7 separate regions of the Mus musculus genome follow, and regions 1, 2, 3, 4, 5 and 7 are each reported to be linked to region 6. Evidence: microRNA targets listed by miRTarBase, many of them from high-throughput screens and not tested one by one. Region 6 holds a microRNA gene; each other region holds the end of a gene's coding sequence.

Evidence for each region. The annotated mature microRNA mmu-miR-541-5p reads AAGGGAUUCUGAUGUUGGUCACACU and lies in region 6 at 1,357-1,381, opposite strand. An mRNA with a match to its seed (bases 2 to 7 or 8) in the 3' UTR can be bound and repressed. Matches are read on the target gene's strand: a 7mer-m8 pairs with bases 2 to 8, a 7mer-A1 pairs with bases 2 to 7 and ends in A, and an 8mer does both.
Region 1: the mRNA of Phyhip is a reported target of mmu-miR-541-5p. The part of its 3' UTR that is shown has no 7-base or 8-base seed match.
Region 2: the mRNA of Plch1 is a reported target of mmu-miR-541-5p. The part of its 3' UTR that is shown has no 7-base or 8-base seed match.
Region 3: the mRNA of Ip6k1 is a reported target of mmu-miR-541-5p. The part of its 3' UTR that is shown has no 7-base or 8-base seed match.
Region 4: the mRNA of Slc6a6 is a reported target of mmu-miR-541-5p. Seed matches in the 3' UTR shown: 7mer-m8 at 2,629-2,635.
Region 5: miRTarBase lists Gabpb2 as a target of mmu-miR-541-5p. The part of its 3' UTR that is shown has no 7-base or 8-base seed match.
Region 7: miRTarBase lists Cds2 as a target of mmu-miR-541-5p. Seed matches in the 3' UTR shown: 8mer at 2,302-2,309.

What each region holds. Positions count from the first base shown.
Region 1 is chr14:70,466,584-70,470,649 of GRCm38, forward strand. It overlaps Phyhip (phytanoyl-CoA hydroxylase interacting protein), which reads left to right. Exons shown (of 5, transcript NM_145981.3): 5 at 218-2,241. The coding sequence ends at 752. Among named protein-coding and RNA genes, the nearest start is that of Phyhip, 11 kb to the left of the region's middle.
Region 2 is chr3:63,694,181-63,698,246 of GRCm38, forward strand. It overlaps Plch1 (phospholipase C, eta 1), which reads right to left. Exons shown (of 24, transcript NM_001370984.1): 24 at 2,054-4,066. The coding sequence ends at 3,253. Among named protein-coding and RNA genes, the nearest start is that of Plch1, 200 kb to the right of the region's middle.
Region 3 is chr9:108,045,598-108,049,660 of GRCm38, forward strand. Ip6k1 (inositol hexaphosphate kinase 1) reads left to right here. Exons shown (of 6, transcript NM_013785.2): 6 at 1-3,185. The coding sequence ends at 375. It overlaps Gmppb (GDP-mannose pyrophosphorylase B), which reads left to right and starts at 3,667. Exons shown (of 9, transcript NM_177910.4): 1 at 3,667-4,048. The coding sequence starts at 3,920.
Region 4 is chr6:91,754,500-91,758,565 of GRCm38, reverse strand. Slc6a6 (solute carrier family 6 (neurotransmitter transporter, taurine), member 6) reads right to left here. Exons shown (of 15, transcript NM_009320.4): 15 at 1-3,652. The coding sequence ends at 3,509. Among named protein-coding and RNA genes, the nearest start is that of Gm44981, 35 kb to the right of the region's middle.
Region 5 is chr3:95,185,221-95,189,286 of GRCm38, reverse strand. It overlaps Gabpb2 (GA repeat binding protein, beta 2), which reads left to right. Exons shown (of 10, transcript NM_029885.1): 9 at 3-133; 10 at 312-4,066. The coding sequence ends at 617. Among named protein-coding and RNA genes, the nearest start is that of Sema6c, 23 kb to the right of the region's middle.
Region 6 is chr12:109,739,746-109,743,802 of GRCm38, reverse strand. It overlaps Mir541 (microRNA 541), which reads right to left and starts at 1,394; the gene lies at 1,305-1,394. Mirg (miRNA containing gene) reads right to left here. Exons shown (of 8, transcript NR_028265.1): 3 at 1,988-2,113; 4 at 1,513-1,741; 5 at 385-446; 6 at 1-137. Mir377 (microRNA 377) reads right to left here and starts at 3,293; the gene lies at 3,226-3,293. It overlaps Mir409 (microRNA 409), which reads right to left and starts at 645; the gene lies at 567-645. It also overlaps Mir412, Mir369 and Mir410.
Region 7 is chr2:132,304,733-132,308,798 of GRCm38, reverse strand. Cds2 (CDP-diacylglycerol synthase (phosphatidate cytidylyltransferase) 2) reads right to left here. Exons shown (of 13, transcript NM_138651.7): 12 at 3,843-3,946; 13 at 1-3,646. The coding sequence ends at 3,514. Among named protein-coding and RNA genes, the nearest start is that of Gm46766, 43 kb to the right of the region's middle.

The DNA.
Region 1 (4,066 bases), not on the chromosome of region 6:
TCCCTATTAGGTGGCTGCACACAGACTAAGGCAGAGACTACTTTCATCCTCAGATTCTAGTCAGGGAGACAGCACGGAAGGACTCAATGTCTGCAAGTAGTGGAGGCTGCAAGCTAGCAGGAATGCTGGGAGTTGGGCTGGCTCACTCTCTTCTTAACTTCAGAGTGCTAACCCGTGGCATTTCCCCCTCTCTTTGGCATTCCTCCCTGCTGGGCAGGACCCACTGTGGGAACGTACTGCAGCCTTACCTGAAGGACAACAGCGGTAGCCACGGCTCCCCCACCAGCGGCATGCTGCACGGGGTCTTCTTCAGCTGCAACACGGAGTTCAACACAGGCCAGCCCCCGCAGGACTCCCCTTACGGCCGCTGGCGCTTCCAGATCCCTGCCCAGCGCCTCTTCAACCCCAGCACCAACCTCTACTTTGCGGACTTCTACTGTATGTACACAGCCTACCACTATGCCATCTTGGTGCTGGCACCCAAAGGCTCCCTGGGGGACCGCTTCTGTCGTGACCGGCTGCCCCTCCTGGACATTGCCTGCAACAAGTTCCTGACCTGCAGTGTGGAGGATGGAGAGCTGATCTTCCGCCACGCTCAGGACCTCATCTTGGAGATCATCTACACCGAGCCTGTCGACCTGTCCCTGGGCACCCTGGGAGAGATCAGCGGGCACCAGCTCATGAGCCTGTCCACTGCTGACGCCAAGAAAGATCCCAGCTGCAAGACCTGCAACATCAGCGTGGGCCGCTAGGGACTCCTGGGGAGCCGGAGGGCAGGAGGGTGGGACGTGATGTGTGGCTTAGGTTTGGGGACCTGGCTTTCTCTCCCCTCTCCCTGCTCCCTCCACTTTGTCCACTACCCCCTCCTCCCTACGTTGGAGACAACGGAAGGTCTTAGCATGGCACAGTCCGGGCCTGGTGGACCTGGAGATGGGGGGGCTTCTCAGCAGGTGATAACCTCCTTTCCTGTTTCCCTCTTCTGGTTTTTGACCTCAAGCAGGCCTCCCTGAGTCCTCGGGCATCTCCCAGAGTCCTCCCTGCCTCTCGGGCCAATGCCCATGTATAGCCTGGCCTCCATATAGATGCAGAAAGCTGTGGGGTACCTCCTTCCTAGCCCCACCCACCCCACTCAGGGCTACCCCAGACAGCCCCCTTCTCACTCAGCTGGGCCTGAGGGCTTTGCCTCCTCCGTGCCAGTGCCAGGCTCCTCTCTCTATAAATAACCTCCTGCACTGCTGTCTTGCCCTGGCTGCCCCTGATCCCCCCAGAGCCCAATTCCCGCATGGGAGAACCGTCCATCCCTCCTGTCACTGTCGTTGACCCACTTGAGATGCCCTCCCACTCTCTGGAAAAGTACCCTCTCTCGTTTTCTAGTTTGGAGGGCTCGCTCTGGTTTCTTGAGATTTTCCTTTCTTCTATACATTCCTCAGCAAATCTCTCTCGCTCAGAGAGCACCCAGGTAGGCACAAAACAGCTGCTGGGGTCGAGGAGGGGGAAGGAGACCCCTGAGACCTGTTCCTCAGCCTGAAGCGGGTAACCTCATGTCTTGATGGGTCTGACAGAGCGAGAGAACTGAGTGTGACCCACAGGGCCCTGGCACCCTGCCCAGCTGTGCACTTTGCTCGCTCACCCGCTCACCCACCCGCTCTGCCTGAGAGTCATGACTGTTCTGTGCCATGTGAGCCAGATCTTTGGCTCTCTATCACACCATCCCTTGCTCTCTGGGCTAATCCCCTGGGGAGTTCCTGATGAATTCCCCGCCTCCCCCCCAGCTCCCTGTGTTTTCATCTTGTTCTTGCTGTTGTCTGGATCAGGAGGGCGGGGAGGGTGGACTCCCTGAGACAAGACAAGCAGGTAGAGACAGATTAGAGGGAGGGATTGTCATAGTAACATTTTCCGAGGTGACAGAGATGATACACAGGCAGCTGGACTTCTGTGAAGGACAGAGGAGCTGGCAGACCCACAGGGCCACACCTCTGAGGGACCGGTGAATGGCTGGCTACCAGAGACAGTGCTGGTAGACAGTCAGGTACCTCATGGGATGGGCCAAGAGATCTGGGATCCTGGGAACTATGTAGAGAAGAGGATTTGACACCCCCCACCCACCCACCCAAGGCCCTTCCCCTCTGCTGACAGCATTGTTGTGGTCGTGGCCTGCTGCCTTGTCTTCTGTCCCTGGGTGGGGCACACCCTTCTGTGCTGTGCTTGCCATGAGCATCAATAAACCACAATGGCCCAAGGGCTCCGTCTGTCTTGGTCCATTTAGGCGGCTACAATGAAATGTCACAGACCTGCAAACTCTCACCATTCTAGAAACTGAGAATTCTAAAACCTAGGTGTCTTCAGATGTGATGTCCTGGAAGATCCTGCTTTCTGATCATAGACAGCCATCTTTGCCTCATTTCTGTGTGCCCTACACCCCCACTAGGATGGAAGGGGTTTCCCTAGCCTTAAATTTCGTTTTTCATTTTATGGACACGTCAGTATACTGTGTCCATGCCTGGTACCTGGCCAAAAGAAGGGCCTGAGGACTGTAAACCACCATGTAAGTGCTGGGATTTGAACCTGGGTCCTTAGGACCCAGTGACCTTAAATGCTGAGCCATCTCTCCAGCAGGCCCTCTTTTTAAAAGATAGGGTTTCTAACCAAGTTAGTGTCCAACTCCCTATGTGAGATGCACTTGTACTTTTTCTGCCCCCACAGTGCTGGGGTTCCAGGCATGTGCCGCCACATCTGGTTTATAAGAAGCTGAGACTGAACCCAGGGATTTTTGCATACTAGACAAGCACTCTGCTGAGCCACATCTCAGCCTACCCTCCCCCCACCTCCACCCCCACCCCCAAGCACCCAGCTTCTTTCGTAAGGGCACTAGTCTCATTCACAAGGCCCCACCCTTAAGGAAGGCAAAGCCTCCTGAACCCATCACCATGGACGTTGAGTTTTGACCTGAGCTTTGGGTTCGGGGCATACGCAGGGCAATCGCAGCAGTGTCTCTGAGCCTGAGAAGTGGATGGAGTGGCTGAGTTGCTCTGTTCACCAGAGAGCTCACATGGGGATGCCACCTGAAGCCACATGGGCATGCCCCAATAGCAAACCCGATAGCATCCTTACAGTGGGTGGCAGAGCTGAGAATACAGGGGCACAGCTTTACCCGTGGAAGAGACTGGAGATCATGTGGTCTCACCTTGTACTTCCCAGATAGTGCGGGGAGATATCTAGGGAGGCCTCTTAGGGGAGTGTGCCTAAAACCCCTGGGCCCCTGATGGAGTCCTCTCTGCAGTCCCAGCCTGCCACCACTCAGACCCAGGTGCCACTGAATTTCCCTCTCCCAAGAGCTCTGTGTCCCCTCCTCCCTGGCAGGACTCCTCGGTTGCAGATCTGAGTCACCTCTGTGCCTATTATTATAGGCTTATTAAAATGGTTCTCGGCTGCAGTGGAAATGTTCCAGAACTGTCAGAGGCACCTTACCAACACCGCCTGAGTCAGGGCCAGGTTTACATGTGTCATGGGGCATGGCCACCTTGAGATAAAGAAAAACTGAAGGGCAGTTCACCTCAGCTGAGAGCCTGGGCTGGCAAACGTGTTGCTCCTTCCACACAGCAACTGGGCTTGTCTACATGACCCGGTATTATGCCGACCTCACAAATAAGAAACTGAGGCACAAAACTTAGAGGCTTGTACGTGACTGTGCCAATTCAGAAACTGGGATCTTACATTCATCAACCCCTGTTGGCTGCCTCCTTTAGAGTGTGTCAGTTTATGAGACAGTTAGAACCAGGCAGGTCCTAATCTCCCACGTAGTGGCCCTTTCGCCTGCTCTTTCAGCTAACCCAGAATGACGCCAGGGGGCGCTATAGAGTCACAAATGTCACAGAGGCTTATTTTAAAGGCGTGGGTAGCGTGAGCTCAGGATTGAAGGATGGGGAATGGATTCTTTTGCCTCTGGACAGTGTGGATTCTCAGAGTCCTTAAGAAGGGTGGGCTTCTGTCTTCCGTTTGAACGCCCTTCTGGGTCTCTTGGAAAAAGGGACTGGCTTTCAGTCCTTATTCCAGGGGACAAGGGTGG
Region 2 (4,066 bases), not on the chromosome of region 6:
GATGTCAGCTACCTGACCACAAGCAACTAAGTAGTCGCTAAATTAAAACGGGATTAGAAAGCTGGGCTGGATAGGAACAGGAAAAGTAACTAACATGTAGAAAGATCAATGGTTGTAACCACATGGAACCACTTGGAACAAGGTCTTATGAGAATACAATCGGCAGATATCAGGCGTGCTATTTTCTTTCCCATTTTACTTAAGCTTCTCATTCACCAATTTACTGACTGTACATACATGCTGGGTCCTAGGCTGGGAAAAGGGCACAAGGCATGGTCACTGCCTATGGCTAATGGAGGAAACAGAAGTGTGAATATGCCAACATAATACAGTGGAATCTAAGGTTCTGAAGTACATGGGAGGCTTGATAATTTTAGAAGAATGAGTCAAAGTTCTATGCAAAGTTATAGGACCTTACTTTGTTCATATAAAGGATTTTAAGTGGGAAAGTTCCTTGATGAGATTCACATTAAGCACCATTGCTTCTGTCCTCTGTGTTTGTCTTTACCGTTAAACTCTTCCAGCCACCTCATTGCTTAGACTTGGAACATCAGTGCAGCCTCTAAGGAAAAAGCCTCAAGGAAACCAAAACTCCACAGGGCTTGTCGCAAGTCAGAGTTGCAGAAACTAGCAGCTCCTCACACAGTCAGCACTGCAAAGCCTGCTAGCATCTTGATAGAGACGTCTCTTGTTTGGTTTCCTTGGGACTGACTCAGGCCCGCATCTGTCCTCTGAACAAGAGAAATCTCAATGAGCAGGATCTGAACATCAGATGCTTTTTATTAAAACGAAGCTTTATTGCCTCCTCTTGGTTAATACAGAACTCTCAAATGACTATCGTGAAACTGGTTTCTCTTCTTTTCCTGTGATCTGTCTCTTGGAAGATTGTAGTATGTATATGGCCAAAAACATGGACACTGAAAGAACCCCTGTACTACCTAGCTCCTGTCTGCAAACATTCATCTTATGAATGGATACATGATTTTTCTTTCCTATTTTAACTTTTAGAGTAAAGAGTGCTTAAATCATAAAACACAGCTAAATTCTCTTCATAGCCATGTAGTTTCTAAATCTCTGTGTTAGATCAATGGTTTCTAAAATAAAAATGGTAACAGATGAACTAAGGTCACAAGAGAGAACATTAGAGGTTCAAAGGCCACAAGACAGAAGAAATGCTTCAAGCTCATTAAGAGAATTGAAATGAGTTTTGGTCCCTTTCCCCTTGATATTTCTTCTTCCAACAAATTTCTAGGTTTATGAATGATGACTCCTAGCATGAGAGAAAAGCTAAGAGTTGGGACTGAATGGAGCAGGGACTGACGGCCTAATGGCTTCTCTCCCCATGACAGACAGACAGACAGACAGACAGACAGACAGACACACACACACACACACACACACACACACACACACACACAAGACAAGCAAAGCATCTCCTGAACTTTCCCCATGTTTGTTCCTCCATAGCCACCTATTACAATCTCTGCCACTGGACTAGTTGACAAGAATTATTTTTAAACTTGCAAATCCATACTAAGTGCAGAAAAACAATTCCATTTGATATCTGTTTAAGGACCTTACAAATATACAGGATCTTCAATATAACGATGTCACTGGATAGAAGCTTCAGTGGTTAAGAGCCCTTGTTGCTCTTGCAGACCACCCAGGTTCTGCTCCCAAAACCCACATAGAGCAGCAAAACTGTGTAATTCTAGTTCCAAAAGATCCTCGGCCCTCTTCTGACCACTTCAGGCACTAGGCACATACATGCTATACATACATATAAGCAAAATATGTATGTGCATGTATATGTACATATATATAAAGTATATACAATACTTTAATATATATTTAAAACAAAAAATGAGTATATTATTCAACATAATGAAAAATTTCAGACACATAAACTGCTGCATAAAACCATCCCTGACAATAAAAGACCCCACTTTTGCTACAAACACATAGAAAGGAGGACATATCCTGGTCCCCCATTCAACAGTTATCACACACACTCCAGCTGTGGCTTTGTTTTTGTTTTATAAACAAAATCATCAAGTGTTCAAAAATCTGCTTTAATTATATTTTTATGAGGTCCAGGAAGAACATCATTGTAATTCATGGTACAAAAAGCAAATGACATCTGAACATGCAATAAAAAATGGATCCACAATGAAAATAATATATGTCGGTACTAAAATAGAGTTACTTGGTTCCCTAAAGGGAAAAGGCTTCTTTTAATTATCTATTCACTTGGATTATGAGAAAATACTTTTTTTCTTGATTGCTTTGGGGAAGTGTCTGTTTGTCCTACTTTGGGTTTTAAGTTTAATGTAAGTCTCTCACTATCTTTTCGTTGTTGCTGTTTTAAGACAGGGACTGAGTACATAGCTTTGATTGGCCTGGAGCTTACTATGTAGATCAGGCTGGCCTCAAACTCATCTGCTTCTACTGGGATTAAAGTCGGGAACCACCATCCCCAGCTGAACGTCTCTCATTCGGAAAGCCATTATTTTCAATCTATAATATTACATCATCCAAAAGAATGACAGATAGCTTGGCAACTGGATTCTTGTTACATACAAGGCCATTAGCAAAAATATGTAACAAAATTTCATGCAAAACAAACTAATTTGCCCTTATATACAGAAGTTCGCTTTCTTCCTCATAGTCCATTCTAAAAGGGACTTGGGGTTGGTGAGCTGCTATCCATCTTCATGGAATTCCTACTTTGGGTGGCATGTGGAAATCATAAAGGGCAATGTAACCACTTAAAACATCTCTTTTAAATGGATTATAAAACTGAATCTGAGTCTCTCAATTCAGAAGGAAAATGTAACTTCACATAAAGAATCCATCCCTTTATGGTTTTCAAAGTTTAATCTTAATGAGCTCAACACTTAGTGAGTAACGGTGACAGCCTCTGGGACTGTGATCGGAGGACATGGGGAAACACATTTTTTTGTGTGCAACATATGCACTCTATGACCCAAGCTGCTGAGAAGTTTCACATAAGGGCATGCACACATTTCATACTAACATAGTTTACAACACCTTGGGGGAAAGATCATGGATTCCTGGGAAAGGCCACAGAATCTATATACAAATGCATGAGGCAAAGGGAGACCAAAATACAAGTTTAAAAATACATTTGGAAATCATTTCAAAGCCCAGTATCATATTTCCTGACAATGGAAAAAAATCTAACATCTTCTAGAGTATCATGTAAACAATGAAAATGCAACTTTATATAATTCAAAGCCTCAAAAGAAAATAAATTTCGGGTTTATCTTCGCTGCTTGGCTCAGTCTGCAGAACTGAATTATCTGAACAAAACTGGTCCATGTAGCCATAGCGAAGGGCCGTGCACGCTCCCTCTGGGATGCCTCGACCCTCTAGGCCACCAGCTTTCATGTTCCTCAGGTAGCTTGCAATGTATGAGCCCGTGGAGTGACGGTTCACGGCCAGAGCAGGAGCGGGCGGTTTACTTCTAAGGACCACTCCTCCTCTGGTGCTCTGGGCCATAGCTTTTTGCTTGCCAGCTTCCTGCTTCTCCTTGGCACGGCTAGCAATGTTGCGCACTCTGCTCTGACTTCTAGACGACAACTTTCTGACTAATGCCCTGGGACACTGATTGACATCCTGCTTTGAGTAGAGCACTTGACAGCTGTCTTCTTGGTCAAAGGACACCAGCTTCCGGAGCTGTTCAGTCAGGGCGTCTAAAGGCTCTAATGACTTTGTCTTCATAGTCACGCTCTTGTCCCTAATGCCGTTTGTCACAAAGCTCCTACTAATACATTGATATTTGCTTTCAAAATTGCAGGCAATGTCCTCTGATGTTAAGTCCCCCAGACTTTTGGATTTGCATGGGCTTGGCAGTTTCAAAGCAGCCAAAGGAGCATGTGTTGATGGTGTAGGTGTAGGGGCATGCATATCTGGAGCCCTAGGCTGCTGGGGCTCACAGATTTGGTTCGTTTTTGCATCTGAACTTGAGAAATGGTTATACACAAAGCCAGCACCCTGATAGGTTAGATGAGAAATACTGTGATTTTTGACACCTGGAATATTG
Region 3 (4,063 bases), not on the chromosome of region 6:
CCAATCCTGAGCAAACTGCGGGGCCTCAAAGCCGTACTGGAGCGGCAGGCCTCCTACCGCTTCTACTCCAGCTCCCTGCTTGTCATCTATGATGGCAAGGAGTGCCGGTCTGAGCTACGTCTCAAGCACGTGGACATGGGGCTCCCTGAGGTGCCACCACCCTGTGGCCCCAGCACCAGTCCTAGCAGCACCAGTCTTGAGGCTGGCCCCTCTTCTCCGCCCAAGGTGGATGTTCGCATGATTGACTTTGCACACAGCACATTCAAGGGCTTCCGGGATGACCCCACTGTTCACGATGGGCCAGACAGAGGCTATGTGTTTGGCTTGGAGAATCTTATCAGCATCATGGAGCAGATGCGGGATGAGAACCAGTAGGCCCTGTGCTGGGCCTAGGACCCCCCTCCTCTCCACCCACAGGCAGGGACCATTGCTCTGAACTTGCTGTGAGGACACACAGACTTGCTTTTAAAGGGTTATATTTCTCTTTGGTGTAAACTAAAAGAAATGTTTTTAGCTGTAGCCTGGAATCCATATATATAAAGTAGAGGAGGGCAGAACATTTGTCCTCTCAGCCAGGCTCCTTAGCTCTGTGGCTGTGACTGCTGTGTCCAGGCTGTCTCAGGAAGGAAGAGGTGGCCCCAGTGGGCTTGACAGCAAAGAGAATGAATGCCTTGAACTTTGGTCTCCCTTGCCTAAGGCGTTTGGGATCTGTGGCTGTGGGGCTCTGCTGATGGTGAGGTGAAGCCCTCGGCTGGCACACGGTCTCCATGCCCAATCATCCCTTATTTCCCAGAACTGGGGAAGGTTAAGTGCCCACGTCCTGAGGGCCATCTTAGTTTCGTGCCAGTGCTGTAACAGATGCCTCAGGGCATTAGAGGGCTAGCTGCACAGACGGACTCACCCTTGGGTCTGATTTTGGCATGGGGCTAGATCGGTGAAACTGAGCTAAGGCCAACTCAGCAGAGGGCAGGCCCTGGGCTCCCTAGGCACCCACTGGCATGTAACCCTGTTCCTCTCTCCACAACTCGAGCCAGCCTCTTGCTGGGATCCCTGACCTAAGGAGGCCTCATAGCCTCCTATCCCACTAAGATGGGCACAGCTGTTTGCTGAGGAGAGCCAGTGTCCCAGGAGGCCTAAGGGCGGGACTTTAGTGGCTCTGGCCCAGACAGTATTTGCAGTTCTGGGCTCTGGGTGGCATCCCTTCCTCACCTGGGGCAGCTGTGCTGCTTGTGGGTGGGCTGCTGCTCCCAGGGCTCAGGAACCGTGGTCCGCTCAGGGTCTTGTCTTCTCCAGGCCAAGCTCAAGGCAGCAGCCCTGTATGTGGTGCTCCAGGCTCTAGGCCTGGAGGGAGAACTTTAAACTTGTTTGCTTTTAGGGACATAGGGCCCTGGGCACAGGTGCCCAGCGTCTGCTGAGAGCTTTGATTAATCCTGGGGTTTGTCAGTAAGTCCATTTGTCCACCTGCTAGCCCCTGTCTCATGGTGAGCTTTCTGGAGTATAGCCTTGTTGGTTAGTATATATTGATTTCCTTCATGCTTCCCCCAGCAGTCTTCTCCTTTCCTTTTCTGAGGTGAGTCTGCTCCTGTGCCCCTCCTCAGCAGGTTCTGCTGTTACAAACCTGGTGGCCAAATGATTCATAGTGGTGTTTACCTGCTAGCCCAGTGGCCTTCTTGTGGGCCTGGGGTATGGCCTTCAGCACCAACGGTGGGTAATGAAGGCTCAGGGTTGACCCTGACCTATTGCTTTTATTTCTGCTACCAGTCCTTTCATGGTAGAGACCTGCTGCTGCCTGTAACATAGTGTCCGACAGGTTACACTACACCAATCATTGCCAAGGTGAGCAACAGTCTCCAAGTCTATCACTTCTAACATGTCTCTGTTTTGGCATTTGAAGGTAATCCTGCCAACCTTTGAGAGAAACTGTTAACGAATGGCATAATTTCCAGGTTCTTAGAGATGCAGCCTCTGAAAAGGGTTCTGTGACGGATCCAAGTCAGTCTTCTGACCCTGGTGCCATTGGTGGGCAGGTTCCCATTCCTTAGGGCCGGGAGGCACGGCTTGGCCCATCTCTGCTTACTAACACCTGTCTTCTGTCCAGTAGTAGTGTTGCTTGTGCCATGCAGGCAGCAAGTGTTAATTAGCGTGGACACCTTTTCTTTGGCAGGATAGAGGTCAAGAGAGGAGTTTGGGGCCAGCAGAGACCTCCTAGGAATGTGCTGTACTTCCGATTTACCAGATTTTGGGAGGTGCTGCCCCCATTCTGCTGCTTCTCAAGTAGCAAGGGAGTTGGTAGGCACTGCTCCTGCCACTGCAAGCGAGGAAAGGCTGGGATTTGCCGCTGCTCAAGGGCAGGGCCTCACTTTTCAGCACTTTTGATATCTGGAGGCCCAGCTCTGTTATCTGATAGGTGGTGGCAAGTGTGTGCGAACACTTTTACCACTGCTCTTCTGCCTGTCCCAGGCTAGAGCCCTGTCTTTTTCCTGACAGGTCCTGCCTTCCCAATCATCAATTTGGGACCAAAGTGCAACTAGGGATCATGGGTTGGGAGCTCACATTACCCCTTTCCATTGTATTTCCCGGGCCAAGCCCATACCAGCCCGGGGAGATGGGTGGGAGTGAAATGGGATGGGTGCTGCTGGAAGAGGAAGGGACCAGTAGAGCAATGTCCTTGCCTGGGATTCTACCCCTCTCAGCTGTGGGCCGTGCAGTGGTGTGGGGATTCATTCTCTCCTAGGGGCAAGGGACCTGGGCTCGGACAGTATCCGTTCAGTATCCGCTGCTCATTCGCTCACATCTGGCCACGTGCACGTTCCCTAGATGCAAACTGCTTTGAACTTTACAGCTATATAAGTTGGTTGTGTGTGTGTGCTCATTTTAAAAACTACATTTTAACGAGGAAAAAGGAGAACCTGGGGAAATTTCCTTTGCTTCTGTGGAGGAAATGTAAGACTTGGAATTCTGGAAATTGTTATCTGCTCCTCTTTCCTGGAAGCTACACACCCTAAGACCTGCGCCTGGATGCATACGTGGCTCCACTGGCGCTTAGGCGCGCTTGCATTTTCCCCAGGTCTTCTGTGTGGTGGAGAGGAGTGCTTGGCCCAAGCCGGCCCTTTTCTGTACACCCAGCGCTATCCGCCCGCTTGTGTCTGGTCGTATACGTCAAAATAAAGCCTCTAGAAACTGAACTCTGTCCAAGTCTGTGTGAAAACTTCATCGCCTCCGGTTGGGCCGACATGGCTAGTCTAGGGATCGGGCTGAGCTGGGTCGGGACAGGTGCAGCGGGACAGTGCTGACACTGGGGGTGGGGGGTCGGGGGAGGCAGCACGGGAGGGGTTGGATATAGGGGTCAGAGCAAGTGTTGAGGGGCGGGGTCATCAGGGCGAACCTGGAGTGGCCTTTGGGGGGGTAGGCGGCGTCGGCGGGGCGGGGCGGGGCGGGGCGGGGCAGATGGCAGCTGCCGCGTGGCGGACTGGGTTCCGATAGGAAGCTAAGCCTCCTCTTTCGGTTCCGCCTTTAGATCCGCCAATGGGCATCTGACTCGCGAGTTCTCCGGGTCCCCATGGCAGCCCAGGGCGTTGGAAATCTAATTGGCTACGTCCGCCGCAGCGTAAAGTCTGACGCTCGGCTGCGGGCGGCCCTGCCACGTAGATTGGCTCTCCCTGTTACGTCACTGGCTGCGCCGCCTCCGGCCGGAACTCCGGACCAGCCGGTCTCCAACCAGTTCCTCGTCTTCTGTTCTGGCTGATCCTGGACCCCACATCAGGGTAGAGCAGGGGGGCGAGGTGACACCAGAGTTGGTCAGTCTAGTTGGTGAAACGTGCAGGTCAGGGCACGGCGTTGGGAGTGCGCGGCAGGGGTCGGTCAGGCGGCCTGTAAGTACTTTGGACCGATAGATCCACTTCTAACATCTGCAGACGCCATGAAGGCACTGATCTTGGTGGGAGGGTATGGGACACGGTTGCGGCCGCTGACGTTGAGCACTCCGAAGCCATTGGTGGACTTCTGCAATAAGCCCATCTTGCTGCATCAAGTGGAGGCGCTTGCTGCGGTAAGGCCGTGGGTC
Region 4 (4,066 bases), not on the chromosome of region 6:
TAATTGTTTTTAAAAAAAGAAAATGGAACTACCATCTCATTTTGAAGCCAAATATATAATAAGATGCTCTGTCCTTCAGGGAACATGCCAGAACATGCCTGTAATGACAATGACACCACTCCTCCCTCCCAGAGAGCATGGACAGCCAGTTTCCTGTGAAGGTCTGACTCCTAGGCGATCAGATGGAGGAGGGGAGGAGGGAGCACTGCTCTGGCTTCCGGGATGCCCCTCTCCATCTTGGAGTATCTGGGTTTTGTTGTGTGTGTGGTTTGGGGCTTGATGAAGGAAGGGGTGTGCACACAGAGGTATTTACAGTGTCCATAGGGACAGGGGTCTCAGGTTTGAGTGGGACTGTGAGGGGCCTTCTCTAAGGTGCCTTCCTGGCTTGTGTCTGCATCTTGGAGAGAGGAACTGGGCTGGCACCTGTTAGACTGGTTGCTAGAGCATTGCCCCGTCCCGAGAGGCAGGACTGGAATGCTGTCGGCCATGGTGGTGACACACTGTGATAGAGAAAGCCCCTTCCTGTGCAGAGGGGGCGAGTGCTGCTTTCTCCTCATGCGCTGCCATGGTCTGCGTGGCTTTCCATGGTAGGGTATGGAGCTGAGGTGAGGACTGGAGGCCAGAGGCAGAGAGGGAAAAGAAACCCTCTCAGGCTACTTCCTGCATAGCCTTGGGCTACATGGAGGTCAAAGGCCTGCCCATACACCCTAGCTAAGGCTCTTCACACTAGTGATGTCTTTGGCCCTCAGTTTCCTGTGGTACAACTTGAGGGGAGGGTGTATCAATTCCTAGTTCCCAAAGGCTTTGGAGGAGAAAGGAAGGAAGGAAGGGTGGCACGGGGCCGGGGTGAGCAGGGCGGTAAGGACTGGCACACGTGGGTATTGCTCTGTGTTCCATGAATATGGAGCAAGGGCCCTCATCAGCTCTGGCCTTTGGTTGACAGGGAAGGCTTGACAGTTTACTTAGACAATGCCCTGGACCTGCCTTCCCTCTACTAAGTCTTGGAGAACCTGAAGCTACAAATGACTCAAATGTCCAGTTCCACTTAGCTCACAGTGTAAGTCCCCACACTAGGCCTATTCTCCTGATTACATAAGTGCCTTGGATCAGGGCCCTCTGGGGCTGCCCACAGTGCCCAGCAGGGACCCTCCATTTGGGAGGTCACATCACTCTTAGGACCAAATAACATCTCCCAGGGTCTCCTGGGCCCACCTAATGTCCTCATCTAAACCAGGCAATGTCCCTTGCTTCCTGTCTCCATCTGACAGGCAGGACAGGATCTGGCCTGTTCCAGGCAAGGGCTGGTTGGTGAACAGCTTAGCCCTCTCTCCAGGAGGCAGGCGGACCAGAGTCACGAGCTCTACTTCAAAATGTTACTTACATGCAGACGTGAAAAGACAAGCATCACAATAAGGGTCATCAGGGGCAGGGGCGGGGTGAGAGTGGGGGCCACTGAAGACAGGTGAGGGGACACTGCTGGGGAGTGGGCTCGGGAGGCGGCTGGCCTTCCAAATCCAGGCAGGGCCTGGGGACTTGGCCCGCTGTGTCTTTGGTCTAGAATTCGATCTGGGAATGATTAAAAAAAGCCTTTCTCAGGCCATTTCCAGAATGGTGCCATTTGTCTGCCAACCCAAAATACTGAAGGCTCGCCAGAGGGGCGTGCCCGGTGGGGGTTAGGGGTAGGGTAGACGGGCATGACCACAGACACTGCCACAGCTGGACGAGCCCCCCTCTCCCTTACACTTCACCTGTCTTTCAGTCACCCACAGTGGTTACTTTTAAGGTTCCGTTGAACGAAAGAAAACCAGGGTACATTACAAGTCGGTAAAATCGGGGAAGGAGAACTCCAAACACTCAAAATAACACGAGAGCAACCAGAAATACACAGGACAACAGGAACACAGTACAATCATGGGTGGCTGAGTCAACAGCCACTGGAAGAGGATTAGAGGGTCACTTGGCAGAGTACATTGCTTTGGAGACAGGAAAAAATGTGTACATTTGTCAAAGAAGTTCAGGATGGCACAGTTGGGCCCAGTGGAGGCTGGGGTGAAGGTGTAGTGCCCTCTCCTGGTTCAGAAGCTGACATTGGGCAGCTCTGGAGTACTGACCTCACTTCTGTGGAGATAGCTTCAACTGACCGAAACTTCCCTTCGCCTTCCCTCTGCCGTCCCCTGGGGGCAAACGCCTGTCCAACAGCCAATGCAGTGGCTTGGAAATCATCTGAGGTCACTACCAAGCTGGCTCTGTACTGGAACTCAGATCCTTTAAGATCCAGGGTCTACAGCCACTTGGAGCACTCCTTGCTGGGAGCTGCTGGATGGTTCTGGGGTGGTAACTTTCACAAGAGTTTGTCAAGAGGCAAGGAAGAATAGTGCCCTCCTGGGGTACACTTGCCAGCCTGGGGTACACTCACCCTCCTGAGCTGCTAATATCATTTGGTCCACTGGCCTCCCTCACCCCGGGCCCTCACCAAAATACATTCTGCTTGGGGAATACTCTGGTCACCACCCACCATGACTCCACTCAAATACCGCAGACACTTCCTGAGTGTGACCCCCACTCTGAAGCCCCAGCAGCTCCTGTGGCCTGGCTTCGGGCAGCCATACTGAGTGTTCAAGAAAGGACAGGGATTCGGCCTACGCCTGCAGAGGCAGGCTCCCAGACCTGAGCCACATCCTCACCAGACATTCAGACGTCCCATCCCTGCCTGTAATACCCATGGTGGTTCAGCCAGTCCCACTGACTACCACCCATGTCTTCTTCCAAGTAAGAGGGCAGGCGTTTGGCCCTGGTACAACCGCTTCAGCTGCTCTGAGATCTATCATTCATGCTGAGGGTGGGCCAGTATTTTGGCATCTTTCTTGTTGGCTGAGGGTCCATAGCCCTGCTCTCTCCTGCCCCTCAGGTCTGTTCAGCTAGTGGGGGGGGGGGGCTCCCTCTCCTCAGCTGTGTTCTTCCTCCTGAACCAGCTCAGAAGGGACTACACCGTTCTTGAAGATGTATCCACTATCATAGGAAAATTCCACCCAGCATTCAGGTTTTTTTTTTTTTTCTCTTTTTTCATTTGTTTTTGGGCAGAACTTTCTGCCAGCTATATAAGCACCGAAGAATTGCTTTTGAAAAACGAGATCCATTGCTGGCAAGACCAATTCAAGTGGCAAAGTGTATGACAGACTCTAAGTATATATAGTTATATGTTAAAAAAAATACAAAGAAAAATTTACCAAGTTCCCACAAAATACATGGAAATCAATATGAAAGTCCATCCTCTTCCCCAGGACGTAGGCCTATGGGTTTTCTTTTTGTACAAAATATCCCCCAAACAAAACAAAACACACATATACAGACATACACGATACACATACACACACACATAGAGTAACATTTTCTGTGACAATTAAAAAAAAAAATCCTAGTACAAATATAAAGCTCTGTAAACCTGGTCCTATGAGAATCTAACGTTAGTAAACAGCAGGAAAGCGGCGCCTGTCACATGGCCCGGACCTCACATCATGGTCTCCACAATGACGTGACTGGGTTTCATGAGTGCGCCGTTCATGAGGGTTACTCGGGAGTGAAAGGGTGTGGCCCCTTCACGCTCCACAGCCCAGCGGTTGGGCTCCCTGGGGGTTATCAGGTATTTGATTCTCTGTGGAAGAAAGAGGAGCAGATCAGGAGTGGATTACGGAGGGTCCTTCCCACCCACCTCTAGAACATCCCAGGCATCTGCCACCCTTTCTGGCCCTTTTATGGATCTTTTCTAAATGGAGTGATCCCCCCAGCCAACCCCTGTATTCTTGCTTACAGACAGGGTACACACATGACCTCCACAGGCAGATTTCTTTCCCCTGAGGAGTTGAGTCCTATCTCCCCATGGTTTATTCTCCCGGGTTTCTCTGACTTTCTGCTTCTACAGTATGTCTTAGAGTTGGAAAACTGACCTAATCCTTCCTCTTTTCCAGACCCCGCCCCCAAGAAGAAATTTGTACTCCTTGGTCTCCCTTCAGGAGACAGTTCCTCAAGAAGCTCCATCTCCTGAAGGGATGGGCCTAGGAGCCCACTG
Region 5 (4,066 bases), not on the chromosome of region 6:
AGTTCTAACTGTGCCTGCTGGTCAGGTTGCAGAGGAGACAATAATTGAAGATGAAGAAGAGGAAGAAGAGAAATTGCCATTGGTGAAGAGACCAAGGATGGCAGAGATGACAAACAGGGTTGAGGAAATGAAGGTAATGAATGCTTACCAGTGAGCAGAGGAGGAGGAAGGCATGGACACCATGGTGAGCAGAGGAGGAGGAGGGCATGGACACCATGGTGGTTAGGGCTGACGCCCTCTTCATTTTTCCGTCTTCATCTGGGAAGTTCATACTCGGGATTCTTACTGTGTTGCCGCTGATTGCTTTACAGGAAGGCAGTGAAAGAGAGCTACTGCAGCAACAGCTCCAGGAGGCCAACCGAAGAGCCCAGGAGTACAGACACCAGCTCCTCAAGAAAGAGCAGGAGGCCGAGCAGTATCGGCTCAGGCTGGAGGCTATGGCTCAGCAGCAGACCAACGGAGTTGAAGTTGATGTCACCGTAGTTGAGGAAGTAGCTGAAGTGGATGCTGTAGTGGTGACAGAAGGGGACGAGGTAGAAAGAGCAACACAAGTCATGAAGTCAGGAAGGACCACGGAGCCTCACACTAACGTTTCCATAGAAACTATTTCATCCTAACACCAACGGCTACAACTTGTGCTCACTCATCATATTCTTTGTAAGAAGAAAGTATAGACTGCAGGTACTGCATACAAATTAGAATGTCCTTAAGAGGGTAACAATAGCCGGGCTCAAGGCCTGAGCCTAGGAAGGCTGTGTGTGCAGCTGGAAAACTCAGAGCCACTTTAGGGGCATCTGAGGGACCAAAGGACCAGGACCAAATCTCTCAGCTCATATCGTTGCTTTAAACAGAGTACTGGGCATTGTAGGTTGAATTTCTTTTTTAATAGTTAGCTTTATATCGAAAGATTTTAAGATAGTACTTGTAATACATATACACCAAGAGCCTTTAATAGTTACACCTGAAATTTTTCAAGTGGCCTGAAAATATGCCTTAGATTTATGAGATTGATGCAGTTGTAGGAAGCCTCCTCTTGAGGAAAAGTAAAGGATAGCATACAGTTGTAAAGAGCAGGCACACAAGTTCTCCCTAGTTAACCTACTGAAAAGAAGTCCCTAAGCCAGGCGTGGTAGTACACACCTGTGATGTCAGCACTCAGGAAGCTGCAACAGGAAGTTATTTGAGGTCAGCCTGAGCTAAAGAGAGTCCTTCAATAAAAGAGGGCCAGATGTGGTGACACATGCCTTGAGTTCCAGCACTCGGGAAGTAGACACAGGCAGATCTCTGTTGAGTTCAAGGCCATGTGGTCTACGTACCAAGTTCCAGGCCAGGCAAGGCTACACAGTGGGACCCTGTCTTCACATATAGCAGAGCACAGCTGGGGTGGAGAAGTGGTGCTTGCTCTTCCAGAGAACCTGGGTTCCATTCCTAGCACCCGAGTCAAGCTGCTCACAATTACATGTCCATCCAGCTCCCAGGGATCATGCCCTTTTCTGGCATGTGTGTATATCCACACACATACATTTATATATACATATCAATGAAAGAGTTTTAAATTAATAACAAAAAAATTAAACTAGTTGAATGCAGTGGTTCACACTTTGGGAACCTGAAACAGAAAGATTACGAGTTTAAAGCCAGCTTGAACTCCATTGTGAGTTACAGGTCAGCCTAGGCTACAGTGTGGGATCTTAGTGCAAGAGAAAAATCAAGTGTCATGGTGTGCACCTCTAATTGTAGCACTCAGGAGGTAGAGGCAGGAGGATCTCTAAGTTTGAGGCCAGCCTAGTCTACAAAGAGTTCTGGTATAGCCAGGGCTATACAGAGACACTGCCTCAAAAATAGAGAAAAATTAGCAAAGAAGGGCTGACTTAGGAATACCTGATAAATTGTGTCCATTGCTTAGATACAGTATAAAAAAAAAAATAGGCATAGTGGCACAGCCTATAATCCCAGCACTTGGGAGGTGAGACGGAAGACCACTGTAAGTTAAAGATCAGCTTTGGCTTCAGTGAGATCTTTCTCAAAATAACAGCAAAAACCCGGAAATGACCAGATGGAGCAGTGACGGGCTCTCATCCCTGCACTTGGGGAGCAGAGGCAAGCAGGTCCTTGGGATTCTAACTAGCCTGGCCCACAGGGTCAGTTCCAGCCTAGCAGGATTACTCAGACCCTAACAAGGACTCCCTGAGGACATAGTTCAGTGGTAGAACGTGGTGCTTAGCTTGCAAGGAAGCCCTGGGTTCGTCCTTTGACACTGTATGTACACAGCGAGAGGAGGGCAGAAGTGCAGGGAAGAAAACCGTTGACAGCAGACTTAAACTCAGGAGAGAAGCTGTGCTGCTGATGGGTAGAAGCTATGTGCAGAGCAGCACCCTCCAGGCTGTGCTTCCAGAGAGAGGCTTCTGGGCTCTGAGTCTCTGGTCTTGAGATGGAAACTATATATTGGCTGGACTTTATAAACCTGCAAGCAGGAGGATCACTTTCAAAAGTTTTTAAATTAATTTTTATTTGTCATTGTAACAACATCTTTCATCCAAACATCTATTTATATAAAGTCAAGCCTAAAACTCTTTAAATTATATAAAATTTGGCCAAATTTTCTGTGTCATGTGGGACACTGGTGCTTTCTGTAGCACTGAGCACTCTGTCAAACACAAAGCAGTGTGGCAGACTGACCAGGCTGGGGAGGTTTGCCCCTGTTGATTTAGTGTGAGTGCATTGCTGCTTCTGTTAGTGTGGCCATGGAGTCTGTGCCCTGTAGTGCTCAGGTGACAAAGGGAGCAGGTATCACTGCCACAGCAAGGAGCCACCCCAGGCCCATTGCTGACCTCCCCTCTCCCTTACTCCACATTCCCCTTGCTCAGACACTTGAAACATTTTCAGTGCTAGGCTTTTGAGGAAGGGTTGGGGCAGGTCTCTCTAGCATGAAGTGTGTGTTTGTGTTTGTATAGCTGGGCACGGTACTCATGCCTGTTAGCAGTCAAGAGCTATAGGAGGAGGGTTGACATGAGTGCAAGGCCAGCCTGAACTACATTGTGTGAACCTGTCTCAAAAACCACAAAAATTAGACACCTGAGCATTGTGCCTCGTGCCTGTAATCCCCACTCAGAGGATCACTGGGGGTCTCAGATGAGACTTCTAGGCAATACAGTGAGATGTACTCTAGGGCAACATGGACCACAGAGACTATATAGTCCAGGATGTCTTGTACTGTAGTCCCTTGTATGTCTTTTTATGAGGTCCTGGGTTCAATCCCCAGGACTGCAAAAAACAATATTTAAACGTCTTATAGACAGGATGTGATAGTACATGTCTACAGTCCCAGAACTGGGCGAGGGAGGCAAGAGGTCAGACGGCGAGAGTCATCCTTGGCAATTTCTCAAGTTTGAGGCCTGCTTACACCAAAGTGGGAGAGGAATAAGCACTCAGAGAGGGATTGGGGTAGGTGATGGGTAACGTAGAATTGCTTGCCTTATTGTACAGGTGCCAAGTACACTTTTGAATAACTGTTGAGAATAGGTTTCCTGATTAGTGATCATGAAGAAAACATGCATTTTTAACCTGGAAAGAGCTTGGCAGTTAACATGGTTCTGGTTACCTTGATTAGTGGGATAATTTGTTGCAGTGTTTCAGAGGTATAGAATCATTTTTGGCTCAAAATAGACTGAAAACATAATTCTCCAAATCACATTTAACAAAATTGAATATTAGAGGTTTATAGGCAAAAATAACCATTTTGAAGTTAACCTTGACTGCTAGCACTGTCTGCTCCAGGGATCTGAGCATCAGGGATGATCTAGTGTGTAGAGAGTGTTGTGGGAGCACAGGGAGGAGGCGTGTGAGGTTGAGGATCCGTCTGCTGTGGATTCTTCTGTTTGCAGCGCTCTTCTGAGACACCCAGGAAATGGGGTGCTAGCAGTAAGCTATTGTGAGTGGCATTTCAGAGCCTTGGTAACTAGAGGGAGCAGGTTTCTTTGTAGGTGGCTTTTGTTTACATCCTTAGAGCACATGTTGAGTTTAATTTCCTTCCTTCTTTTAAAGGAATAGATGCTAACTGCAGAGG
Region 6 (4,057 bases):
TGGCAGGTGGTATTGAAAACAGGCCATCTGTGTTATATTCGTCATTAATAAAGCGAACTCATCACAGACAACCTCTCCTCAAGTACCCAGTGTTGACCGCAGCAACCCTGGAGCTGGAATCACCACCTGAAGCTGTCCTGGGGGGAAGGGGGGGATTGCATATAAATGGTGAGTAGGGTTGACACAGGCAGCACACAGCCTGTTCCACCCAGCCCAGTTCCCCGCGGAGGCAGCAACCTAGAAGCACCATGCTGTCCCCACCCCCACAGGGGCTGCAACTCCAAGAGCTTCTCCAAGCTGAGCGTTGATACTGAGAAAAGATCAACCATGTATTATTCGAAGTCAGCCAAGCGAATATAACACGGTCGATCTCCCTTCAAGTACCAGCAGAGGTGTTGAGCTGAGGCTGTGACATCCTGGGCGCAGGCTGCAGCGGGCACCGACGGCTAGTGGACCAGGTGAAGTACATTAGAAACAATTACTTTCCAGCTGGTCGACCATCCGTCCCATACCCCAGAGCGAGATGAGTCCATGGTCTTCCCTGAGGTGGCCTCCCTGGAGGGATTTGATACCGAAAAGGGGTTCACCGAGCAACATTCGTCCTCCAGATGCAAAGTTGCTCGGGTAACCTCTCTCCGAGTACCACGGAGAGGCTCGGATGCTCAGAACGAGGCCGATGGCTGAGTTTCCAGAAGAACCATCCTGGAGCCCCTCAGAGATTATAACTCCCCATTCAGTGAGGAGCCACCCTCCACCACGTGAAAGCAATTATTCCATCACCTCCCCAGTGCAATCTACCACCCTTTCACCTTCCAAGAATATCTAAAGCCTTCCCAGACAACCTTGAGACCCAGGTAGCGAGGAGCTGACTCGGGGCAGAAGTGGGTGCAGAACTCTGCTTACTCTATCTCTCCTTTGTAAGCTGGAGATAGGGAGATGCTGAGACCCTGCGCATATACCACACCACCCTCCCAGAGACGATGCCTTCCAGAAGCGAGGAGGCAATGACTGCATCATCCAGAGATGCTCCTCCTTGGGCCCACCCAACCACTGCAGCCCCACGACCCTGGCATCCCCGCCCTGTCACCTGCCCCCTCCCCCCACGGTGATGTCATAGCAAGAACTGCTTGACCATCCAGTCCTATAAACCAAGCAAGTAATGCTTCAAAGATAAACATGGAGGGAGGAGAGAAAGAACAGCGGAAGGAGATCCCGCAGGGTCCCCTTGTGCCAGTGTGTATGGCTGCCCCGCACGAGCACGCCAGGGAGGGCTCTCCAGTAAGGGTCAGGATCCATTGACTTAGGCCATAAGCAGAGTATGGATTCTGTGTTCGCCACTCATTTTAAAACTCTTGGAGTGTGACCAACATCAGAATCCCTTCTCTGATTTTGGCAAGAGTTCACACAGGCTTCTAGCCTTGCTGCAGGGCAGCAAGAGACTGGTCACATGCAGTGTGTCATACGGGGAAAAGACGCCACGGGCAGCTTCATGTAGGTGTTCTGGAAACTGACCTGTGGGACAGAGGCTCTTTCCCCAGCTGGCATCACCTCCTGGAAATGCTCCTAAGAGGCACACAATGGCGATGATGGTGGCTAACGGTAGCTACAAGATCCAGTCAACAGTATGGGGAGGGAAGCTTGTCCAGGTTCTTCCTCCAAGCACTTGTCCTGGAGAGAGCTCCAGCCACTGACCAGTTCCAAGACAATGATGTAGCCTCTGGAGTCCTTTGAGGTAAAGATCCTTTTGGAAAGAGAGCCACCATGAAACCTGGTGCTCATCACACCCCAGATAGTATATTAGACCCTGGATACATCCACTCTAAAATGACCTCCCGTACGGGCCTAGCCCTTCAGCACCAACAATGGGTACGTCTTTAAGCCTAGCCCTGGGAGCTGGCAACATGGAAACCCAAGGAAGGGCAGGCCCTAGAATGTTCCAGGTACCAACTGCTCGGCAAGAGCAGACTCCCCAGAACCAGTGTCTTACCCGGAATGTTTCATGAGGATCGAGGAAAGTGAAGAAGACTGCTCAGTGGGCACGTGCTCTGGCACTGGTACCCAGTCACATCCTCCAGGTGACACCCGCCAGCTTCTGAATACTCCATGAAGCTCTCTGTAAAGGTTTGGGATGGGAAAATAAAGTTTAGCCACATTAAAAAAAAAAACCCACATGGTGACCAGTCCTTCTTATCACCCCACTAGCTCTAGTCTATATCCATAGATTTCCCCATCTCAAACACCACACCCACATTGATTTTCATAAAAAAACATGCATTTCTTTCCTTTTTTTTTTTTTAAAGTAAATTCCATTAAACTAATCCAATTCCCTGTTTAGCTTCCTTGACTGTGCTGTTGGGCCATTTTCATTTCTTTTATTTCCCTTGTTATTTCCTCAAATCATTTTCATTAGGATCAATTCTTTCCCATTTAAAAATCTGAACGAAGATTTGATTCCTCAATGTGCGTTCATCTACCACAAATATTACTGCTCATAGCATCCGCCACTACTGAAGCTGCCCCTTGCGGCTGCCATGTCTACAGAGTACTGTTTCCCCAGGTCAAATGTCGCAGCTCAAATGTTGTCAAGAAAATTGGATTCTTCTGCCAATTTGTAGTCAATTGAACACATTTTCCTCCAAGCTATTCTGGTAGTTTGTGGTGTTATTTTGTGATTATTTTATCACTATTATTTAATGTAAACGGGATGAAATGCTGGTCGCCTCTATTCATTTCCTAACCCATCCAAAAATGGAGAACAAGGTTTGGTGAGCGATGAGGACGAAAGAGAAACAGACAGAGGTGTGTTGAGGGGGTGGGGTGGGAGGGGGGAAAAACAGATGGTATGTGAGCACTCCTGACCCAGTGAGTTGAGGAGAGGAAGGGGGTGGGGAGGGAAGGCTGCCATTGTCCTTGACACTGTCAAAGGACAGAGTTCATTTTGTCAAGGTATCTTCAGAGTAGAGATAGAACAGCGAGTGTGTCTGCAACTAGGGGGGCTAGGTGCTGGTGTGACAAAGAGGATTCAGGCTGAGAAGAGTCAGGGAGTAGATATTGGCATCTCTCCATTGGTTCCTGGGACTACATGTCTGGTCACGTGGCGTTCTGAGCCACACCCCTTCCTGACCATCCCCATATCCACACCTTCCATTCTAGCACATGACATTTGCAGAGACCCCAGAACTTTGTAACGTGTCCCCAATGCCACCCCAAGCAGGCTTTGATACTCAAACAAAAGTTGCCTTTGTGTGATTCAACATCAATAAAGCGAATTCACCAAGGGCAACCTCTGCTCAAGAATCAAACGTCAGCACAGGCCGAGAGTTGAGCAGGGCGCCTCTTCCCCAGGCAGCCCTGCCTCCCTCGGCTCTGGCTCCCTGACTCCCACCCTCTAGGGAGGCTGGCATTACCTCCGATGAGCCCCCAGGTCCAACTGCAAAGCAGACTAGCAATGGACTGACTTGCAGAGTTCTCTCCTGCCTACAGGTGGCCAGAGACTTGTACAGACATCCAGGCTTTGGCCAGAAACTGGTCACTCACCCAGAAGCACACGGACACCAAGTCTGAATCCCAAAGTGTTTCTCCTAGAGAAGTCCTGAGGTAGGTTTGACATAGAAGAAACCATGACTCTCTGTGTAGTAGGGTCCATCCTGCCCACCAATGAAGGCTGACCTAAAAGAGGATAACTCCCTTTCCAAGGCAGTATCCTGAGAGACCGCACAGACAAACCAGCAGCATCAGGGTACAAGGTGTCTGCACCGTCCTCTATTCTCTCTGGCTTCTGAGAGGCCTCAAAGAGGGTTCAACAAAGAAAACATGTCCAACTGCCATTCACTCAGCATCATTCGTCCTGTGTGCACCTACGAGCATTAGATGGGGTTTCTGAGCTCAAGGAACCTGTGTTCTAGAGGGTGGGAAGAGATCCACAGAGTAAGGACATTCATGCAACAACTATCATTATAAAAGCCAATGGTTTTCCAACTTTCTGGGGGAAACCAGGCACTCTCAAAATACTGAACACACATTCAGCGTGAATACATACCTTATAAGCAGCCATTAA
Region 7 (4,066 bases), not on the chromosome of region 6:
CCTGCCCTCCTCCCCATCAAAGCGCAGCACGCACATAAGCACAGTATGCAGGAGTGGTAGGCACAGCCAGGAATTACTCTAAAGACAAAGGCAACATGGCCTTAGACGTTACTAACACAAGTTTCAGTTGTGACATCACACACTGGTAACGAGGAAAAGGCTTTCCTGGAAATCTACCTCAGGCTGACTCCACGAGGAACACTTGACTGCCACACAGAACTTCGCGTGAGATGCTCTGTCCTGAGTCCTTAGGTCCCTCCTCCTCCCAGCTCCATCAACAGCAAGGACTGACCTTGGCTTGCCAATCGGTGAACTGAGGGATCCCTTCAGAGCAGGTCCCAGCCAACCCAACAATTAGGCCAACATATTCTCTTGAAATGTCCTGCTCAAGTTTTCTTGTATAATACAGGCTAGGTTACAGGATGAAAGCAAGCAGGGGCAAAATCCATAAAAACGGTTCCACAGTCCACCTGTGTGAGATTACATGGTATATTTCACACCTCTGGACACCGGCTCACACACACTACAGCACATTAAGAATACATTTTAAATGCGGTTATAAAGCAGAAACTAAAAGTCTGAGAATGTGAAATAGGCTCTGTGTGTGTGTGTGTGTGTGTGTGTGTGTGTGTGTGTGTGTGTTTGTACATGCGTGTGTGCACCCTGCACATTCTCTCCCAACTTCCTTATGGGACTTCACTTTCAGAAGACACAATGGGAACTTTTTTGACACTGAAGTGGTTAAGGGGTGAGAAACGTACACACAAAGGGAACACAGTTTTCCTGAGAACGACCATGAGTAGAACTCACCAGGAAGACACCCTGGCTTGTTCTCATGTCAGGCTGGTTTCTGGGACCAAATCTTTACTTCACCAGTTCTAAGCTAACAGCCATCTAAGCAGTGCCCAGGACTGGCCTGGTCAGGGCTCCAAGGCCTGCAGGAAGGAACACTGCAGTATTTCCCGGGTTGGGGCCTCGGGGAGTAGCTACTAACCCTGTCCCACAGGCACACTTTGAGATGGGGACTTTATGGTTCCACCCCATGGCTCTCACCTGAGACATCTCAGAGGCTGTGAGAACAGATGGCACACAGGCTGGCAAGCAGGAAAACTGCACAGTGTTTATGCTCACACAGCGGGAAACATAAAACCACACAACAAGTGACAAACACGGGACTCCTGACAAGGAAAAGCACGAACACTTTATTTCTGACACAACAAGATGAGTGTAAAGCAAGTTATGTGACCCACTGAGATCTGTGCGGTGCTGAGAAAGCAGTCTCTGGGCCTGCCTGCTTACTGGAACAAACAACACGCTATACAATCACAGGGTGGCACAATCGCAGGGTGGCACTGTTCTCCTGGCTACCTGACTGGGAAATTCTCCTCTTTCACAAGACTGGAGAACTCAGAATAGAAACCTGTGGCTGGCAGCTCCAATGAGCACTGGGTTTCAGTGTCTTAGGACACCAGCTTCCTCAAGCCTCAGCTGCTGCTGCCCGAGCGTGAGTTTTGGCTCCTGGGGCGCTGGGGTGTGGTGTGCCCTTCTCTACCTAGTTTAGTGATCCAAGGCCATTTTTCTATCAGAAGTGCAGTGTTGCTCCTAATCTCCACTGAGAATCTTAAGGAGCAATTGTAAAATACACCTCAGTGTATTTCCTTTTCCGGGTGCCCATGACATGACTTAATAGCAACAGGGGCTGAGAGTGACACGACCGTCTCCATGGAGTTGCCGAATTGGTGAACTTTGAGGGCAAGTCAGAGGACAGCCCTAAGGGCAAAGCTCCCACTAGGGGCCTCATGGCCAGAACCAAACTGAAGGCAGCAACACTGTGTTCAGTGCGGCCTGGGAGCTGAGAACAAAAATCCCCAATGCGGACAAGTCAGTCAAAGCTGAGAGACAAGGAGCTGCCCGCCCCGCCCCGCCCCCGTGCGCACAGCGGACACTCTGAGGGCTGGCTGAGTGTTGGAGGCCACAGGAAGACTAATCTGAAAACAAATTAGCACAGACCACGGTACTTGGGGAAGTCACTGCAGCCTCTCAGCGGTGGGCACACCGAGCAGGGCTGTGGGTTAGTTACCACTCTTGGGGAATAAGTTCCTTCCCTGCCAACTGCTCCTTTCCATGTCAAGCTCAACCTATTAGGAAGGGAAAGAATCACAGCTTACACAAACCCCAGCAGAAGGTCCCCAGGAAAGTACAAACTACAGCTACACCGGTCACATTTGATAAAGTGGACACTGAGTCTTGAAGAGCCAAGCCTCTTGACAGATTAGGCCGGCCACAGTTCTAAGCAGGATGTAGGGATTCTGAGGACGTTTGGGTATGACTAAAATCATGTAGGAAACAAGGTGACTTTTAAACAGACACACATACGCTCATCTCGAGAATACTATATACACAACACAGCAGCAACACAAGTGGGCTTCCAGGCAAAGGGTGTCTGAGCAAAAGTCCTCTGCTCCCCACCTCTTAGGGCTCCCCCAGAAGGACTCAGCACAGCAGCAAACCCGCGGCACAACCACAGAGGCCTCGACTCTAAAAGGTGCGGTCTACAGGACCACCCTCTAGAGGCCACTGTGCCTGGCTGGGGCAGAGAGGGCTGGGACAGTGCCCCCTGCTGCACACATCTGGAATATGTAAGGGCTTCTTTTCCATACTTCATAAATTCTTCATGCTTTCTGAGAAAAAGAAGTCTGAAATCTTCTCTCAGTCTATATGGTGAAAGCAAACTACATAAGCAAAGCTCACCTGCCCTCTGCAGAATTTTGGCTTGGACAGATGTTCATCTGATCAGAAAGCCTCTCCCTCACAGCTCTACAGAGGGCAGCCCCCACTGCTCTCACAGCTCTACAGAGGGCAGCCCCCACTGCTCTCACAGCTCTACAGAGGGCAGCCCCCACTGCTCTCACAGCTCTACAGAGGGCAGCCCCCCACTGCTCTCACAGCTCTACAGAGGGCAGCCCCCCACTGCTCTCACAGCTCTACAGAGGGCAGCCCCCACTGCTCTCACAGCTCTACAGAGGGCAGCCCCCACTGCTCTCAGACAGAGATGCCTGCAGAAGCCCCAACGAGAGGTGTCAAGGACAGCAAAAGCGTGGAGCCCGTGAAGGCCCGTGCAGGTGGGAAAGCCCTCAACTCATCACACACAGATCAATGTATGATCTCTCGCACAGCCCAGAAACAACTGGATGGGCAGGGGTTAGAGCCACCAAGCAGACACCCTGAGCTGGGCAACACTGCCCTTCATGTTGCTCAATACTTGTACTTCAGAAACCCAAATGGTTCTTTCCTGTGACTTCTTTGCAACTCAAAGCTACAGCTTACTCACTGCCCACACTATAAACAGACAGTATATACAGATTAAAAACCACACACGCACAAAAAGGAAAAAGAAAAAAAAATGACGGTGGTGAGTTGAAGCTTTTCATTATCTAAGTCACAGCAGCTGGGCGGCCTTGGCGACTGGCCCCCACTCCATCCTGCTCCAGCTCTCTGGGCCCCAGGTGGACTCTACTCATCTTCCAAGGCAGATGTCAGAATCCCCTTGTCAGTTAGGTGAGACTTGAGCGTGTTGAAGATGTGAAGCTGCTGATCTGGCCGCAACGTCAGAAACTGCTGGATCAGTTTGCTTGGGTTTGGACCCCTACAACAGAACATAAGGCACCCCTGAGCAGGGGCCAGCTGCCTCGCTGGCCCAGTTACCCATGGGGTGCTATGAGCCCTGGATTCACTATTAGTGGAGGGAGAGAGACCTCAGAGGATTTGTAAACACTCATGCTTTCAAAGCCCACTCAGCTGGATCCGGTGGAATATCTGGATCCGGTGGAGTAGTTCCGCACCTGATAAAGCTGGCGATGTACACATTGACAAAGGTGGCCATCAGGTACTGGCAGTCAAAGCGATCCATGATGCCTCCATGACCGGGAATGGTATTGGCAAAATCCTGTTAGAGGAAAAGGAAGGAAGGATGGGCCTGGGCTCACCAACAACCAAACTCCAGACTAATGGATCCACCCATGACCAAAACCCTGCTGGGCAGAGAAGGTGATGGACAGAGGCATAC